Drosophila melanogaster: one gene and its partner. The protein of the gene in region 2 purifies or fractionates together with the protein of the main gene of each other region. This does not show direct contact. Each region holds a gene or a part of one and is shown on either strand. Other genes may lie near its edges.

Region 1 (6,091 bases), on a different chromosome or scaffold from region 2:
TTTTTGTGTTGATATGAGCGCTTGACGTTTGATTTTCCCCGAAACTTTTCATCTGCCTTTTGTGTCGGTGACTAAGTTGAGTGGGTGGGAAATTCCCCCAGTTCGCGGCGACGCTGGGAAAATACCCAAAATCGCCCAAAATTTTTTCATAATTAGATTTTCAGAATGTGTAAACAATTTTATTAAATTTTTTTATATTTAGAAAACATTTAATAAAAGCGATCAATTATGTAATAGATAGTGTATAACAGTATCAATAACAGGAATAACAGTATTAAATCAGGCAATGTAAAATATAATAACATAAAACAATTCAAAGGGTCTTACCTGAATTCTTCATACGACTTTTTTTTGTCGAAACTCATTTGAAGTTATGGTTATAAAATCGTGAGTGGATTTCTTTAAATGTAAAAGTACCCTATCACGATGCCTACTACATTTTAGACATTGACTAATTAAGTAAGCACACTTCAAGCGAATGCCCAGAAATTAAAAAAAGATAGCTACTGAAGTTGGCAATCAGGAAATGTCGAACTTTGATCTGCGGATACAACTACTAGAAGTCGCAGATAGTCAGTCGCACTATATGGTAAAATTGAATGTTCGCACTTACAGCTGCCACGATTTGTGTGCCGCCAATTACCTTAAAACAAAAATTGCACTGCCAATGTAAACAAAACGTATTTGAAACTCGTGTTCGAATGGATATACATATGTATGTATGGATTTATTCCTAATCACATGCACACGATACTCCGGATCAGCAGATCGACCAGTGATCGTCGAGATCCGTGAAATTGGATTTGTTTCTACTTTCCGTCCTTACGAAGTGGCTGCACTGAAATCGAAACTGTTTGTTTATCTTAGCAATTAGTTAGCCATAAATGTGCGAGTAAGCGAATAGAAGGGATAAAGCATAAATAATTAAAACTGTTCGCATTAGCAGATGGCAATAAAATAACTCGGTTTCTGGTCCATTCGATCGAATTCAATATTGTTGTTTAGTTTCCGAAAATATTGGTTTTGTAATTGACTTGACTTTGTTCAATTCAACTCAAGTTCCCCGAGCCCCACCATCTTGTCTTCGCCCTCCAGTTTTCTTCTCGTTTTTCCATTTTGGTTCGCCAGCCCGAGTTGAACGAACCTCTTTCAATATCTTTCAGAAAAAGAACCCAACTTTGCTTTGCTCGAAAATCAATATTATTGTTTAAATATTATTCTACGTATACGACACAGCGAGCAATAAATATTTACTAGATGTGCTCATGTTGCAAATTGTATTGGTTTTTTGGGGTTGAGTATGCAAAATCAGCAGGGAAATGGAGCAGAAATTGTTTTCGAGATTAGGAATTGAATAGGCGTAGAAAAAAATGATATTCTAGGAAACTAAATCTTAAACAAAGACGAAAAGCCTTCCTGTTTTGTTAGATTATGGTTCCAACTTTGTATATTATCAAGAACTGGTAAAAAAAACATACACGCGAATTCTTTAGTGGAATTCTTCCAACAATTTAAAAAATGATTTATTTATTGGATCGAAAGATTTTATGTTTAAAATTAAGAAGCTTTAGGAAATACTTCAAATATTAATTATAATGTATACATATAATTGTAAAGCTTTGAAAATGTAGTGATCACATAAAAAATGGGCCATATTTAACAACTTCAAACGGACAAGGTCACTTGACTCCAAACAGTTTTGTTGAGCACTTCAAAGGCCTGAATTTGTTCATTCAATTGGGCCAGTTTACTGAATATCAAATCGAACTTGGAATCAAAGTGCTGCACCACTGCTTTCAGTTCATCGCGCAGTTTGTCCACCTCGCTGGGATCAGAACTACTTGTTATGGGCGAGGACTCTACGCTGGCGGAGATTTCCGAAGAGGAGGAGGAGTCCACACCCTCTTTTTCGGGCAAGCGATACATGCAGGCTATTCCGTGAAAGTATTCCCCCGGAAAATCGGGATCGTAGTTATCCACGGTATAGGCAATGCCATTGGCACGAATGAGCACATCCATTATGTTTCTCAGGCTGAAGCAGTTCCAGTTATTTCCATGAATATAGAAGTGCGTTAGTTGCGTGAGCGTGGGGAACGCGGATGGATCGATTTCCGTCAAATTATTGCCGGATATGTCAAGTTTCTGCAAATTTTGCATACCCTGCAACGCCTCCAGCGGCAGTTCCATCTGGCCCGTATTCCGCAGCACCAGCATCTCCAGATGTGGCGTCCGCCAACCGTCGGGCAACTGACCCAGGTTCGGATTGTCCGCCACATCCAGGTGCCGGAGTCTGGGCACGCGGCTCAACGACGCCAGCTGAACCAGCGAGTTGTTGCGCAGCACCAAATGCTCCAGTGCCTCGGAGGCGGGAAAGTACAGCTCGCGCACGCGATTGTCGCTCAGATCGACATTCGTCACCGATCCGTACAAATTGACACGGTCCAGCGAGCAATTGCGAGCGGTCAAATTGGTGGCGTTAATGTTCAGCAGTAGAACGACCAGCTCGGGGTTATTCGATAGATCCACATACTGCATCTGATGGTGTCGTCCGCGGGATCGAAAGGCATACTCGCCCACCTCTCGCAGTCGATTGTTCTGCATTGCGACCGACAAAAGGTCCGGATTGTGGGCAAATAAATCGCTCTCAATGGTGGTCAGTTGATTACCGGCCAGTCCCACGTGCCGCAGACTCTTCAGTCCGGCAAATACGTCCGCGGCTAAAGCCTCCAGGCGATTCTCTGTGAGATCCAGGTACTGTAATTTCAGGAGATTATCAAACGCACCCGCCTGCAGTTTGCCTAGTTTGTTGCGATTCAGGAAGATAAACTCCAAGTTTCCTGCTCCCCTGAAGGTTTTCGTGGGCAGCACTTCGATGTGATTATCGCTGAGCAGAAGAATCACCAGCTTATCCGCACCAATGGAGAAGTTCTCCCAGTAAATGAAGCGGATGCCACAGCCGCGCATGTCCAGCTCACTGACCTCTAGTGTGTAAAATAAGCGCAGGGGAAAATTGGTGAAGGTGCAGTTCTCGAAGATCAGGGTTCGCGAGTGCTCCTCATCGCCCACTTCGTAGGTGGTGCCATCCTCGGCAATCCGCACCTCCGTTGGCAGATCAAAGGTGGCCTTCTCGTCCTCTCCCGCAAACTCAAAGCCCCTGCAGCTGGTCACCTTGCCCTCCGTCTGGCAATGACCTTCCAAGCTGGAGACCAGCACTATTCGGGATGAGCCACTATCCACATCAGCATCCGCGTCCTCATCCGTAGTAGCTGTGGCCGCCAATGAGATCAGCAAATAGCTGCAGAGGAACGGCAGACAATTCCGGACGTACATTTGGCGTGCTCCACGATTCACGTTCGACCTGAAACTGATTCCAAACGTTGACCGCCAAACGCCTGGCCAGATAAGCTCCTCTATAATGCTCAAATAACGATCATCAGTTCTATATAATTGCCATCCCATTCTATTCATGGTGTTCTGATTTTGCGAAAATAAATATGGTTCATCTGTGGCGGGTACAGCGCATTTCGAAAATGTAAGGCAGGGTTTTTTTCTTTTTTTTGAAATCGGATTGAAATACTATTTCTATTTCGAAGAATTGAGATGCTTTGGAAATCACTGCTGACTAATTAATAGATTTAATTACAATTATTTGTCTGGGAACTCCTTTTAAAAGAAATTAACATCTTTTGCTGTACGAGAGAGATGAAAATCGGTTTGTTTTTTTTTGTACCTATCATTATTTTGACACTTGTCTGTGCTGCTTTTCCGTTTATTATTCATGATTTTTTGCTGCTCTATGGAAGTTCTCGCTCTGTTGGCTCCATTCAAAACTCACAGACTTTGAAAAAAAAAACAAAACTTTGTACAATATCTGTGGAGCAATTCCCACTCATTTCCAGTGTGTTCTCTTATCATGAAGTGTTTACTTAGCGATTTGCTGAACAAAAGGTGGAAATCTCTTTTGGCTGCTGATAGTGGACATGAGGCCAGACATTCGCCCATTTTTATGTAAGAGTATTTTCATTGGGGCCCATCCATCTTTGGCTTTTACCATCGAAAATATAGGCGCGTGGAAACGTTGCTTAAAATACCTTCTATATAATTTACACAACAGCCATTTAGCATTTTGTTGGCACTGCCTTGCGTTGTGTAGTTTTGCTGATGATTGCCCGAATGACTCATTATTTATCAGGCGAACAATTCAGTGGAGGGCATTTGAGTTTCGGTTTGATAAGAGCAAACGAACTTCCGTTAACTACTTTGTCGTCTGCATTTATTCCTAGTCTTATTTTTAAAGCAATCAGGCAAGAATGTAGGCACCTTTACACGAAAAACATTCGTAAATATAGCGAAACCAGAACTTTCGCCTGCGAAGCGGTGACATGTCCAGTGGAAAAATGTGTAAAATATTTAGCCAATTATTTAGCCAACATGCCAGCGGTTTTGAGAACACGTTCAACCTGCTTTCTCAGTCGTTCAATTTGCCAGTTGCAGCTTAGCGGGCGAAAACAAAAAGATTATGACAGGTAGAGCCTTATTAATTTGTATGCAAACAAATTTATACGCTTGTTGAAATGTTAAAAATTAATTTTCCATTCGTTTGCGTTGGGATTTTCTCGGCTTTGGCCGCCTGGGCAAACAAACAATTTGAATATCGATGGCTAATTTTTTTCACTTTATGTATTCACAATTGATCTGCCTGTTTGCATTGGGCTTATTATGAGCCAATGGCTTTTAAATTACTCGACTCAAGACGACTTTTGTTCTTTGCATGGCATTTGCCATAGCTGTATCTGTATCTATTGTAGCTGTGTATTGTATCTCAATTGAAACGGCATGACTTCGTTTAGCGTCTTTTTTTCACTTTTTCGCCTGTGCCCCCTTTGTTGAATTCAATTTGCCGCAATTACTTTGCATACAAGTTTCGAGAAATAAAAAAAAAAAAACAAAGAGTGAAAATTACCAGGCTTTTATTCTGTCGAGACTTTGTCCCCGCCGTCTGTACTTTATTCAAATCAAATTCGCCCAATAGTTTAGCAGTGTAAACAAATGCGATATAGAAATATATTAAATCAGAACATATAGCGCACCATTTTACGCCTCTATTGTGGGTGCTTTTATATGGCGCCGTCGGTTTATGGCACTTGATTTATTTCATTGGGTTTATTGGTCATTCGAACGCTAAATGCTCAGGATATCCAAAGGTTGTTCCACCCATCTGACTGCAATGATGACGCAACTAGATGGTGATATAACTGGAAAATGAGCTAATTGCCATTCAAATTGGCAAGTTTATGTCCAAGTGCTTTTGTAAATTTGTTCTAAGGCGGAAATGCTTTCAATAACTATGGCTTTATAAATAATATCCAATTTTTTGCTACGAAACAAGTTAGTTTATATCAGTGTAGACTGATTTTATGAACATATTTATAGCTTAATTAGATGCAGCAAATGCGGGGAAATACATTATTCGCTTTAAAGATAAGAAATCAAGCTAAGAAAGTGAAGATAGTTAAGATAGTTAAAGTTTCAATCGAAACCATATGCAGTCCTTAGTCCATCAAAAGATATTAATCTCAATTAACTGCTGTAAACAATTCCCATGATTATCAGAGCGACAGGCCAGACGTAATGTAGCCATACATTGGCTTACTTTTGCAATGGCAATACATCGTCCACAAAACAGCAGCCATTCCATATCAGTTGGCACAACTGGGCCATAAACTATAAACCATAACTACGAGTATGTGTTATGAAGTGGAGGATCGCGAGATCGTGCTTATCGGCCGGGTATTATGACAAAAGCCTGATAATATTTCCCAGCGAATCGTAGAAGCAAAAACAAAGCAAATATATTCATTGAGAGGAACAATAAAATTTTATTGACAAAAAATCGAACCAGATTGTGGAGGGGGTCGACAGAAAAACAAACAAACAAACTAGCGCCTAAAGACCTGTTTTCGCTTTTTTTTGTTTTTTTTTTTGGCTGGTTTCTGAAGGTTGTGTTCTGGTTTTGTATTAAAATGCCCCCCAAGCCAAAAATTGCTCAGTCTTTTAAAGCCAAGATGCGGATGCTAAACTATCTGAACTA
Region 2 (6,663 bases):
CAGGTGGCTAACAAATAGAGCAATTGTTTCTTTTTCTGGGTTTATTGGGCAGATTGAAAGGGAGAAGTGAGGCGAATATCCAAGGAATTTGAGGCAAAGCATTTTAAACTACACTTGCAATGCATTTAAGACGAAGCTAGTGCTATGGGAATAAAATATCAGATAACTGAGAAATAGATTTAAAATGAAGGATTTAAAATTTATATTTTTCCATGGATTGATGAAAGAACTTTAGACCAAGACTTTACCTTTTTATTCGCCCACAGATTGCACAGCATTATAGTTGCTTGTTTTTTTTTTTGGGTACCGAAAGTAAGCAACATGGCCAAGTAATGTCTAGCATAAACATAAAAATCCATCGTGCGTTAGCCTCCTTCGCCCGAAAGCCACAAACACAACAGAGTTTGGGGCTCAGAACCGCCTCCAGACCTCCCCCCCCCCTCACCCCAAGAAGGAGGCGAAGGATGTGCCCCGGCTGGGTGTCTGCAGATTAGGATGAAGGTCGCGATGGCTCGTCGGTGTCTCCTGTCAGAGTGCTCACTCTGCTCTTGGCCATGATTTAATTAAAGTCTACATGTGCTAAGTAGATTTTATTCTTTGCTCGCTCATTTGGTTTATTTGCCTATTTTTTCGCCCTAGTTTTCTGTTTCGCCTGCTGGCCATAATTGATTTAGGCATTTACTGCATTAGGCCAAAAAAAAAAGGCGCTCATACACTGGGAATGAAGTCAGGAAGAGGAAAGATACCATATTTGATTTATCAAGGAAACTAAGTCATTTCTCAATAGTGACTTTTCTGGATATATATTATGCTATTTACCGTCTGCCTCATACGAAATGAAGTCAACTAATTAACTTGTGCCTCCTCCTTGATAGTCAATTTTGGCTTACAATTGTGATTAGTAAATACGTATATGATATGTAAAATTTTAATAAACTTAACTACGGCCGTTGGTCATTGTTAATTTATAGCACATACATTCATAATTCATATCTTAGAGATGGTATTGAAATATGCTTTTATATGTGCACTATTAAATTGAACATGTGTGAATTGCGAGTGAGATCTACTTACACAACGATTTGACTGCAGGATGTTGTTGGATGGCAGGACTCAAGTGTTGTTGTTGCATTGTCCAAGCTCTCGAAATGCTTATCATTATTACGAGGATTGGCGTTGCGATGCAACCGAAGCATTTTCCCTCCATAGCCATGGTCCTGCGAGCCGGATCTTACTTATTTATATTTATTCACCTCAATGGCGGTTAGATGAGTGTAATTTAGCCCCACAAGTTTACGTATTTTGGTTTACATTACTGCTAATGGTTTGGTTCCTAAATCGTTTTTGAAGTGCATTCTATAAAGAGAGGGAGGAAACATTTTCATTAACGCTATTATTTGTGAAATATTCATGAAAAGCACTTGAAATGAATTAATTTGAATTATTGCAGCCATTCATTGCACTGCTGCCTAACTTAACATAAATCATTGAAAAATTATAAAAGTGTTTTTTTTTTTTTTGTGACAAGAATATAATTAAATAGTTATATTTTTTTGCAAATTCTAAAGGATTCAAGCCATATATAGCCAAGTTTATAGTTGGGGTATGTGAAAAACCAATTTCGTCCATCGAATTCCATGTTCGTACAGCATTTAACTGAAGCAAACATTGATATTAACCGTAGGCCTTCATTATAAATGTCCTTCATTCACATCATTTATCCTGTATCAAATTGCAACGGCATTAATTTATTTTTACATTTTCGGAATGTTTACGTTTGTATTTGTTAAGCCCTCATATATTGTCTGTAGTGGCAAGTTGCTTATCGCCACCATGTCACAGGAGCAGTTTTAACCAACGCAATTTGTATATTTACAACCCGCAAGCCGCACTCAAATAGTTTTTTATTTGGCCATAAAACACATAAATTGTGCAACTGAAAGGTGTAGCCTTGATCACTCACGAAATGTGCAAGGGTCAAAAACCAATTAAAATGTTAATTTCTCCACAAACTGCGCTTTGTTTCACGTTACAATCGTGCTCCACGAACGATCCAAGAGATATTGTATTCAATAAATATCGATTCCATGCCCTTCGACCCACCCTTCAGTTATCATTACCACAGCACTTAAATGATTTCAACCGTTGCTGGAGTTGTGTAATGAGTTGTTGTTTGTTGCGATGCCAATCAAACAATGGTGGTAAAATTAACATGGAATCAGCTTAAAATGCGCACTGCAATTGTTATTTTCATGGCATCGTTGGTTAATTGAATTTAGTGGTTTTGGATATGTATTGTTACTTTTTGGATAATTTAATGCCAAACTTTCATCGCGATAATGATGCATTTATAATTTTAGGCTAGTCCATTTTAAGTGCCACAAGTACAGTCTGCTGTTAATTAATGATATATATTGTACTTCTATGGCAGAGTCACTCAAATTCAACTAAGCCCACTTATCAAATTTAGCAACTGGCTTTTGTCTTCCGTTGTGTACTTCAGGCATAAATGCAAGTTAATTAAGCAAACCTGGTTGCACATTAATCACCTGGACACCCGGCCAAAAAGCCACAAAAGCACCTGGAGACCACTTGATCTTTAAGGAGAAAAGTCAAGGCATAAAGCTCGAAAGAAAATTCAATTAGAAAAACACGAAAGGCGGCCAAAAGAGCGAGGAAAACGGTTCGATTTCAATGTCTTCTTTTTTTGGGGGCTGTCCCCGGACATATGTATATACTGCTATTCCCTATTCAAGCCATTCTTTATAAGGTTATAAGATTAATGAGAGACAAGCTCATCTAATACTATTCCCTCAAGCGGCACTTAATTAATGCCACATGCAAAGAGTCCTGCGAGGTCCTTGGCCTTTGTCGAGTCCTTTTAAAGGCAGCTGGCAAATTGTCCAAGAAGTTTTCCTTAAAATTTTTTTTACTGTCGTACTTAACGAGTTTTTACTAAAACAAGGTCGGCCTTTTGCCTTTTTGCTTAAATATTAAATGTAATTATACTTTATTATATAGTATAATATGTGCAAAAAATGCTTTAAATCAAAGCCAGTGCTAACAAATGGATGTGTACATGTTTGCAAAAGTTTTAAAAGTCCAAAACTACACCAATTATTGACTGTCTGTGGAAAGTTTATTTATTGACGGAACAACTTTGACCTTTCCGCATCACCTCATTAACTTTTTTGTGGTTTAGTGAATTAATTACCTTTCCTACTTCATATCACCACAAGAACTCATTAGAAATGAGGACTCACTTCAAAGTCAATCCGTAACACACGTGCTCATTAGGTACATATTTCCGATTTTTCATTCTGCCCTGGATTTCAGAGGAAAAATGCGAGTGAACTTCAAAAGCAGATAAGGCGAAGAAGAACTTGGAAAAACTTCCATCTCAACTTGGAAAAACTTTGATTTAACATTTATTTTTGCACGAAACTCTTGGTTGTTGTTTATGCAACTGTCTGGAGTTTCAGTTGAAGTCTGTAAAAAATGTGTTTTGTTTTCTGTGTTTCAATCCTATCGCTAAGCGTATAATTTGCAAGAAACCTGAGTAACAAATGCATTTTCGATTGGCATTAAATCACGTCGCCCGTCCGAGTTCATTTCCGATGAGAAATAAATGTTTTTCTCTGATTTATCTGTGCTCCACTTTTCGAGGAGGGAAAATCGAGCCACATTGAATGCGAAAGAGCAGTGTGGGTGGGTTAATATTAATGTACTTAAAGCTGTTATTCGACTCAATTTTGGTGTCAGCAGCAGCAGGGCGAATATTTCCCATGAATTTAACCATTTAAACATCCAATGTTAGTTTTTAACAGACAATTAATTCAGGGGACAATATCTTTCACTGGCCGCATAAAGCGGCCTCCAATTCGAAACTTCACTTTTGCCTCAAGAGCATTATACACTGAGCGAAATCGAAGCCGAACGATCTTAGTGTCGTCTCGCGCACAAGTTGAAAAAACAGATGCGGCAGTTGGGAAAGTTGGGAAACCGCGACACCGCTATCGAATGCGGCAACTACGAGATATCCTTTCGTGGCCAGGACCACAATCTGCGATAAGGACTCGTAGTCACATCCGCGCCAAAGGACGAAACACGTGCGCCGCGACTTGAAATTCATTTGATACTGCGGCATCCGAGGCCGGAGCTTTTCCGTATTGTTGTTTCCTCCGCGCTGCAAGTAATCGTTCCGATGTGAACCGAGTCCTGCCAGCCACGAACAGGACGACGAGTTGGTTGTTATTGTCACTCCCGCACTCCGAAAACGGGTGACTTTGCGGCGAATTCGGGAAAATCCTTGTATTTGAAGGGGCGACTGTCTCCAAGATGAACGTCTAAAAGGGAAATTTTGCGGGGAGAATTTAAGCAACTATAATGAGAACCCTACTTTGTTGTACCAATTAGGAAAAGATTCTATCCAATCATGCCATTTCATGAAGATACCAAAGCTTATAAATATTTTAGAAATATAATTAAAACTTCTTCAACTTTAAAGGTGTTATTTTTCAAATACGCAACAATTTTTTGTTGTTTGCACTGCTTTGAATTATGATACACTGCTTAGGAATTTCTCTTCACTGCTTATATGGGTAACAAAAACCTAGGGAAATTTTAGTTCTTGGACTGCTTGCAAAACATTTGAACTGCTTAGTTTCGAGAGAACTGTTCTAGAAAAATTGCCCAGGAAATATTACTGATCTAAATTCTAGTCTCTTTTGGGAAATAAAAACTGCTTTCAAGCCGCTTTTCCAATTTAAACAAGTGTGTAGTGCAAGCCATGCTGCCAATGCCAACAGGTGTGTTCAGAATCTTACGATTCATCAATATGCCCCCAAAAACATAATCAAGCACAGAAAAACATTGAGAAATACGCCTTTACTTCACATCTTTCAATTTTATTTTATTTATGCAAAATCGTGTTTTCCATTAAATATACAAATGAGATTTAAAATCAAATCAAAAGTATCGCGCTATTATGCAAGTATTGGGGAGGAGTCTACAGAAATGTACACACAAATGCAAGAAAACTATGAATAAAAGTATAAAAATATTTGAATCTATTGTTTGCCTTCAAAATGCAGTTGGAATTGTTAAGTTCAGTTAACACAATAGAGTTAACACTTCGCGCATCGCCACAAAAAACGCACTTTAATAATTACAATTACAAAATTTCAATGGTAGAACTTTTCACAAAACTCTCATGCCGTTGTAAACGAATTTAAAAATAATGTTTTCTCAACTTGGAGAAAAATGTTTAAACACATGTTTTACAACAGAAAATTTCTCGTGTCTTTCACTAATTTATCAGTATCGAGGTTGAATTTACTAGATTGTTAGTGTACTATCGGCATCCACAAAGATTTGCTCGTATTGCTTTTTCTTAATTAAACTTGACGAGAAGTTGTTGATAAATGTGAATGACTTCTTGAGTTTCGACTTATAGAACATTTTCCGGTTTTTTAACTTTTTGCGAAAAATTAGGGCTTCCTTCACTATTTACTATGACGCGTATTCTGTTTGCATCTGCTGCAGCTGCTGATGATGTTGCTGTTCGAGAAGTAAGCGTTCCTGACGCTTAAAATCATTTGAGCTTGGCGTATGCGTCGACCTTTTTGTGAAACTGGTTGTAGTACTCCAGGGCGGCGTTACGCGTCTGGTTCAGCGCCTGATTGATGTTCTCGGGCGAGAGACGGCCACTAAACAAAGATCACAATCATAAGGGATGCATTCTCAAAGACAACAAAGGCCAGGCAGGCAGGCATACTTACACAAGCACCTTTTCCTTGATGAGCGCTGCAGCCTTTTCATAGCTGCTGGCGGCTAAATCGCTAACGCCAGCGGCAAAAGCTTCGATTTTGCCAGACGAATTGGGCACGTATTGGTCAATCTAAAATATAGATGGAACGTATTATTAATTCAAAACTGGTTTGCCCATGACCTCATCTTCATGGCGACTAAAAGACACTTACGAACTTTGCCACAACGGGCCATTTGGCGCCAAAGTATCCCTTGCCGTTCTGGTAAGCGTTGCAGGCCGCATTCCTCGCCAGCTTCCACAGGTCACAGGTGGTCTTGATCACCGGCTCGGCGTACGGCGGCACATTCACTTCCGCCCACTTGTAGCCCCGCGCTCCGGCCCCCATGACCGTGTACCAGGACTTCTGGACATGCGGCAGGACTCCGGCATTTTTCAGCACCTTGCCGGTGGCCGATTTCTCGAACACGCCCTTGCCGTTCACCTCGGTATCGTAGTACAGAGCTCCGGCAATCAGGGCGATGATGAAGATGCTACCCAAGGTCCACTTGCAGCATCCGCATTTCTTTTTTTCTGCCGCGGCCTTCTGTTTGTTCTTCTTCTGCTGCGCGCTGCTCTTCTCTTGGACGCTCTACATAGTACAAAATTAGAAAATTATTAAGAATCTTAATTGCTGGGGATAGTTGATATTGTGGAATCATTTGATTGAGTTCAATTTTTTACCTTTTTGGCGGCCGGCACTGGTTTGCCGCTCTGTTTGTTACTTTTCGGTTTAACCTGAGCCATTTTCTAACTTAATTTCAATGAGTTTCGATTATGAAGAGTATTTCTAGATTTCCTCAGCTGTTCGCAAAAGATGTTTAATTATTTATTGTGTTTATCATTGCAATTGTGTT

Evidence for each region. Proteins that work in one complex are often made in the same cells at the same time.
Region 1: the proteins of dpr2 (region 2) and cDIP purify together in Drosophila melanogaster (affinity purification with western blotting; 2 studies listed by BioGRID). This does not show direct contact.

What each region holds. Positions count from the first base shown.
Region 1 is NT_033777.3:21,157,725-21,163,815, forward strand, and holds cDIP (common Dpr-interacting protein), read right to left. Parts: upstream 3,369-6,091; 5' UTR 3,331-3,368; coding exon 1,666-3,330; 3' UTR 1,514-1,665; downstream 1-1,513. Other genes in the region: CG5810 (uncharacterized protein), read left to right, coding at 6,066-6,091.
Region 2 is NT_033779.5:10,960,012-10,966,674, forward strand, and holds the start of dpr2 (defective proboscis extension response 2), read right to left. Parts: upstream 4,143-6,663; 5' UTR 3,215-4,142; intron 1,357-3,214; 5' UTR 1,214-1,356; coding exon 1,075-1,213; intron 1-1,074. Other genes in the region: Tmem214 (transmembrane protein 214), read right to left, coding at 5,594-5,708, 5,781-5,899, 5,982-6,398.